Linked DNA regions of Kluyveromyces lactis. The protein of the gene in region 1 interacts with the protein of each later gene in a pairwise test. Links are inferred from orthologs where the notes say so. Each region holds a gene or a part of one and is shown in the gene's direction. Other genes may lie near its edges.

Region 1 (3,908 bases):
CTAACCAAGACTAGTATATTCAAGTATGTTACCTATATCGTGGGCTGAATGATACGTGTGTGAGAAAGATCAAATGAGATAAGGATAGAATTGCAATTAATAGGAAACCAACAGAAACCTAAGCCTGAGGACCCAGAATGAATTGTATCTCCTGAATGGAAATCCGATGATCTATTACAGAGAGCGAAGCGACATGGAGGGGAGAGAGAGGCTAATTAAATTTACAGACAATACTTCTTCGGAGCCAGTATGAATATCAAAAAGATGATAATTCAACCTAGACAATGGAAGGGAAAGTGAGATAAATAACGGCCCATGAGCTTTAGTATCGGACCATCCTACAGTCCATGTTAGCATATGAGGATGGTCTGATTTTCCACGATTATAAAGAAATGGAAAGATTTAGACAATACAACTTAACTTATCACTCTCACATACGAGGATTATTATTCGAATATTAATTTACTAACATAAATTGTTATGATAATAATTTGTAAACGCACACTGTTGTCGTTGTACCAGATTATTATACATTGAATAAACTTTTACAGAATGCCAAAGAAGAGAGCTTCCAACGGTAGAAACAAGAAGGGTAGAGGTCACGTCAAGCCTGTCAGATGTGTCAACTGTTCCAGATCTGTTCCAAAGGACAAGGCCATCAAGAGAATGGCTATCAGAAACATCGTTGAAGCTGCTGCTATCAGAGATTTGTCTGAAGCCTCTGTCTACGCTGAATATGCTCTTCCAAAGACCTACAACAAGTTGCACTACTGTATTTCTTGCGCTATCCACGCTAGAATTGTTAGAGTCAGATCCAGAACTGACAGAAGAATCAGAGCTCCTCCACAAAGACCAAGATTCAACAGAGACAACAAGGTTTCTCCAGCTGATGCCGCTAAGAAAGCTTTGTAAATCTAACCTTAAACAATAGCAAGTCATTTAAATGAAGATATGAATTTATCTTTTTATTATCATCAAAATGTATTCTTTTCTCTATGTTTAATGTTTAGATCTGTATAGTTTTATATCAATAACTAAAACGCACCCAAATAACTTCAAGAAAGTCAGTTTTAGCCTTAGTTGTGCTTGTTAGGATGCAGTATGCACTAGACCATCTGAGACCAATCTTTATTAGAAGAGCACCTAAAGCCATTTGGTTAAGCGGTGCCTTTGCTGGTCAATGGTAACGAGAATATCATAATACACGATTTGATCTGTTCAATTTTTCATGTATTACTGAAAATTGTTTTAAAGAGTAATTACGATCTCGAATGATGCTAAACCATGTGTTAACTTTCAATATAAGGTTACGTTCGTTTTATCCTTTTAAAATTAGAATCCACTGATCATTAATTGGCTGTCGTTATTTAACGGTTTCAGGCGACATATTTCCTACCAGATATATCCATTTTCAGCGTACTTTTATCTTCTTTTTGCTGGGGCATTTTATAGAAAATTCAGCTATTATTGTTAACTTTGTGATTCCTGATTAACAACATGCCTACCATTTCAGTTAACAAGAGGCAATTGTTTGAGGCCTTGGGCAAAAACTACACCAATGAAGAATTCGATGAATTATGTTTTGAATTTGGTGTTGAATTAGATGAAGATACCACTGAAGAAGCTTTGAAGACAGGCGAGGAACCAGAATTGAAAATTGAAATCGGTGCCAACCGTTACGATTTACTGTGTATCGAAGGTATCGCTCAATCTTTGAATGAATTTTTGGGTAACGTTGAAGCTCCAGAGTATAAGTTGAGCAAACCAACTACCAAGTTAATCATTGAAGAATCTACAACTCAAATTAGAAGTTACGCTTGTGCTGCCATCTTAAGAAATGTTACATTCACCGAAGCCAACTATGCATCGTTCATTTCTCTTCAAGATAAGTTACACTCAAACTTGTGTAGAAACAGAACTTTAGTTGCCATTGGTACACACGATTTGGATACCATTAAAGGTCCTTTCCACTACAGAGCTGAAAAGCCAACTGACATCAAGTTTGTGCCCTTAAATCAAAGTAAGGAATACGATGGTGCAGAGTTAATCGAATTGTACAAACAACCAGAACAAAAGAACAACTTGGGCCGTTTCGTTCACATTATCGAAGATTCCCCTGTTTTTCCTGTCATCTACGATGACAATAATGTCGTTTGTTCTCTGCCTCCTTTGATTAACTCTGAACACTCTAAAATTTCTCTGAACACCAAGAATATTTTTATCGAAGTTACTGCAACCGATAGAACCAAGTCCGAAGTTGTCTTGGACCAAATCGTTGCTATGTTCTCCCGTTATTGTGAAGACCAATTCACCGTGGAGCCAGTGGAAATTGTTTCTGAACACAACAATCAATCTAGAGTAACCCCAAATTTCACTCCAAAAATTATGGACGTCAAGGTCGATTACATCAATTCTTGTCTAGGCCTAACCTTATCCCCAGAAGAGATCTCAAAGAACTTGAAAAAGATGTCGTTGAAAGCTACACCTTCCTCTGACGACCAAAACATCTTACATGTTGAAATTCCAATTACGAGATCTGATATTTTACATCCTTGTGATATCATGGAAGACGCTGCTATCGGTTACGGTTACAACAACTTACCAAAAGGCAATCAATTGTCTAATGCTAACTTCGTTGCATCTGCGTTACCTATCAACAAAATTTCAGACATTCTAAGGATTGCTTCCTCTCAGGCTTCATGGTTGGAAGTTTTGCCATTGACCTTATGCTCTCATGATGAAAACTTTAAATTCCTAAGGATGGAAGATGATAACACAAAGGCTGTAAAATTAGCTAACCCAAAGACTTTGGAATACCAAGTTGTCAGAACTAGTTTATTGCCAGGTATTCTAAAAACTGTTAAGGAAAATAGAAAGCACTCTTTACCTATCAAAGTTTTTGAAGCCGGTGATGTTGTTTTCAAGAATGATAAACTAGAAAGAAGAGCATTCAACCAACGTCATTGGGCCGCCGCTTATGTCGGAAAAACTGCCTCATTTGAAATTATTCAAGGTTTACTAGGGAAAATTATGCAGACTTTCAGAACTCAATGGCTACCTGATTATGGTGCGGGATCCACTGGCAGAGGTTACTGGATTGAAAAAGATGATACCCTCACTACCTACTTCCCGGGTAGAGGTGCAAAGATCATGTTCAGACACAAAGAAGGAGAAGAAGCTAGGCAGATCGGTCATATTGGTGTTTTACATCCTGAAGTAATGTCCAACTTCGACATTCCATATGCCGGTTCTTACGTTGAAATCAATTCAGAAGCTTTCTTATAGATAGGTAGAGATAATACTTGCACTCTCATGTATTAATTCTATAAAATTTTGATATAAGTGTATATATACTTACCACTGCAATATTTTCATCACGCAAAAGTCAGTTGGACTTCTACTTCTCGACAATGTCTCGAGACGAGTGATCAATATCCTTCTGTACCTCGTCCTTGAGTTTTGAAATCTCTTGGATAAGTTGGTCTTTGTGCACATCCGTAGCTATGCCTTCTTCGGTATCCCCATTCACTTCTGGCCCTAATGTCTTGTCCTTTAGAGTCTGTTCATACATTTCTTGCCATTCAACTTTCTGAGGTTTGAACCAAGAAGATTTAGATAACCATTTGTGCTTTCTCTTTTTCTTACCATGGGATTCATCAGAAAGTTTCTCCTGGGCAGATTCTAATTCAGCAACAAGTTTCCTCTGTCTAGCAACTTGTTCCGGATCCATTGGGTCTTCAATTTCTACGAACTCTTCACTGAGTACAGACATACCAATGGCTTTAAGAAGTTTAGGCATTTTCTTTCTATAACTCATATGCCCGTCAACTATCTCACTGCAGTCCACATTTTCAATATCCGGAACACTATTTATTGGTGATATTCCTGCAACAGTACTCAACCCTCCA
Region 2 (3,534 bases), on another chromosome or scaffold:
TCCGCCACTACTCGCTTCAAATCGGCGAAAAGTTCATCTACATTAAGGCTGTCCATGTTTGTTTGGGTTTTAGTGTCCTTGAGGGTCTTTAGCTTATCAAAGGACGCACTCTAAATGGTTTTTATCACACTCTTTCTATCACCTCGTTAAGGCGATGAGCTGGGAGCTATGTAACTATTTTTTTTTTTTACCTTCTGAGCTTCGGATGTTTTGATGCACTTTCGTCGTAGAAAAGAAAGCAACGGTCACGTGCGGGATGAAAGATTCTCCATCTAATACTTATTCTTTAACATCGGTTCAGAAAGATCAAATAAATTGTACTCTCCACAGCTCCCCTTTCAACTAAAACAATATTTATCTTTTAGCGTCTTCTTTGTCTCTACAATATAGTCTCAAACTAAGAAGTCATATGCATCTTTACATACTTCCAAAATCAACAACAAAAAAGAGCAGTAAAGAAAACTCCACACACACACAAACACAAATAAGCCACCGAGGATGACTGTAACGGCTCTGACAGCAGAACAGATAATTAACAAAAAGAGATCCATGGAAGACCTTAAGAATATACAAGTACAAAGAAGTAAACGAGCCATTGCTCGTTATAAGAACGCTCCTCTACACACATCTGCTGACGAGGATCGCAAATCTGGGAACAAAAGACATATAGTAGCCATTGATGACTCGTTAAAGATAAACTATGAGGTGATTCGTCATATTCCAGGTCAGCTAGCTCAGCGAGAAGAAATTGAAGATTTAAACAGGCTTAAGTTGATCCAATATAAGGATTCACTCAATAAGATGCACGAAGACTATATCGATATATGGAAAAGAGAAGACCCAGCTTTGGAAAACGTGGACTATGCACAGTTAGATGAGTCCACACTGCTGGAAGAGAAGAAATGGCTCACAGAACTAAATGATAAACTTAAGAAGGATTATACAGAAGCTGTTCAACTTGAGAAGAAATGGTTTCTCTTAAAAGAGATCATGCTAGAAGCTTGCACAAGGCTAGATCTTTGTGCCGAATCAAACCCGCTTCTCAATAAAAACCAAATCACCCTGGATGAATCAAAGGGTACACTACTGTAATTATAATGAAGCTATATGTACGTAACATTACATTACAATATAGGAATGCAAACTGACTCACGTGATATCATTTTGAACGTCTGTCACTACTACAGGTCTTTTTCACTCTAGTGAAAAATTTAATTGTACAGAACAAAAATCAGATTCTGTTCGAACATCAAATACAACAAACTTGATGGGCACGTCAAAGCTTGACTCGTCTAAGGCAGATTCTGGCATAACGTTGTCGTGGTAATTCAGCGTAAACGTTTGATACAGTAGTGATTCTGTATTAAAGATATCATCCGTTACCATATTCAATTAATACTCATTGCACGATGTCTGATATTCAATTGGAAATTTTACAGAAAGTCGAAAAGTTGGGTCAAATTGACTCAACCTCTGAGCTGTACCCCAGTATCGATTCTCAAACCATGGCTGCTTATTTGAATTCTTTGAAATCCCATGAAAAGATCGATTTCTCAAAGAAAGATACCATTTTCTACAGTTTAACTAAAGAAGGTAATGCGATCGTGGCCGATGGTTCTCATGAAGTGAAACTCTTGAAATTGATTGATCAGTTTGGAAAATTGCAAATCAAAGATGTTGCCAGTCATCTAGGCGCCGACGGGAAGGTTGGTCAAGCTAGAGCCTTCAAGAACGGATGGATTGTAAAGACACCAGAAAATGAATTGAAAGTTAGTGACAAAATTGCAGATGTCTCCCAAGTGAAAGATCAAACCAAGGAACAATTGGAAAAGATTAAGAATAACGAACTTTCTGGTATCAGTGATAAAGAAGTTGCTGATCTAAAGAAGAGAAAGTTAATCACCCCAAGAAAGGAAACTACATTCAGCGTTGTCAAGGGCAAGGAATTCTCTACCGATTTGACTAAGCTGGAGACTGAGATTACCGCTGAAATGGTAGCCACAGGTTCATATAAGGATCTAAGGTTCAAAGAGTTCAATTTCAACTCTCAAGGTATCGATCCACAATCCGGTGCTCTGCATCCTTTGAACAAGGTCAGAGAGGAATTCAGACAAATTTTCTTCTCTATGGGTTTCACTGAAATGCCATCAAACCAATACGTAGAATCAGGATTCTGGAACTTTGACACATTATACGTTCCACAACAACATCCAGCTCGTGATTTGCAAGATACATTTTACTTGAAGGACCCAATCAAATGCGATATGCCAGATGATAGAGAATATATCGCCAACATCAAAGCTGTACACGAGAATGGTAAATTTGATTCGATTGGTTACCGTTACAACTGGAAGGAGGAAGAGTGCCAAAGATTGGTTCTTAGAACACATACTACAGCAATATCTGCTGCTATGCTTCATAAGTTGGCCAAAGATCCAAAACCAACCAGATTATTCTCGATAGACCGTGTCTTCCGTAATGAAGCTGTTGACGCTACACATTTAGCCGAATTCCACCAAGTTGAAGGTGTTTTAGCTGATTACAATATAACGTTGGGTGACTTAATCCAATTCATGGAAGACTTCTTCGCTAAGATGGGTGTTACGGGGTTGCGTTTCAAACCAACCTATAACCCATACACGGAACCTTCATTGGAAATTTATTCATGGCATGAAGGGTTAGGCAAATGGGTTGAGATTGGTAACTCCGGTATGTTCAGACCAGAAATGTTGGAATCCATGGGCCTTCCAAAGGATATGAGAGTTCTGGGTTGGGGTTTGTCTTTAGAGAGACCTACAATGATTAAATACAAGGTTCAAAATATTAGAGAGCTTTTGGGTCACAAGGTTTCTTTGGATTTCATTGAATCGAACCCTGCCGCTAGGTTAGATGAAGATTTGTATGAATGATTTTCCTTGATTGTTCTAAATTGCTTTTGGTAGTTTATAAAATCTATATATGCGCTTCATATCTTCAAATCACCTGTCAGATAGTAATCTATACAGACTACCTTTCCGTTGTTTCCAATGCTCAAATATGTTGTCACTAAAATCCAAATCTCCATATCGATTAGTAGTAGTGGAAAGATGTACTTGTGATTTTGTTAATGTTTCGCAATGAAACCTAAGAATGTCTTCCTGGCTGGTAATAGGTCGAGCTAGTTGCCCATTATTTATGTGTTGCTGCTTGATCAGCTTCCAGTATTGTCCAGCTAGCGATTGATGTCTTATCGCACCATTATTTTTGAGTTCATCCTTTGTGGCTCGTAGCATTTGCTTCGGTAAGTCTGCATAACCATTACGAAGCTGCCATTCCAAATCTGTCATTTCCAATCTACCGGTTGTCATGGGTCTCTGTACAGCACCTTTGAAACCTTTAAATAAAGGCAATTTTAAGCTAGGGTCAATATTGTCGTCTTCATGCATATTTGAGTTTGCCGATACCCTTATTAAACTCCTTTGAGATAACATCCTTTCTCTGCGGGGATGAACTGAAATTGATTCATCCGAGTCCACGTCTGAAGCCGAACTTTCT

What was found.
Region 2: the proteins of FRS1 (region 1) and FRS2 interact in binary tests that used the Saccharomyces cerevisiae proteins (3 or more experiments, as listed by UniProt). The link is inferred for Kluyveromyces lactis from reciprocal best matches to the Saccharomyces cerevisiae genes FRS1 and FRS2.

What each region holds. Positions count from the first base shown.
Region 1 is NC_006040.1:440,330-444,237, forward strand, and holds FRS1 (phenylalanine--tRNA ligase subunit beta), read left to right. Parts: upstream 1-1,497; coding exon 1,498-3,285; downstream 3,286-3,908. Other genes in the region: RPS26A (40S ribosomal protein eS26), read left to right, coding at 553-912; MIL1 (Mil1p), read right to left, coding at 3,398-3,908.
Region 2 is NC_006042.1:2,348,567-2,352,100, reverse strand, and holds FRS2 (phenylalanine--tRNA ligase subunit alpha), read left to right. Parts: upstream 1-1,409; coding exon 1,410-2,909; downstream 2,910-3,534. Other genes in the region: FCF2 (Fcf2p), read right to left, coding at 1-56; IES3 (Ies3p), read left to right, coding at 499-1,092; OSW2 (Osw2p), read right to left, coding at 2,979-3,534.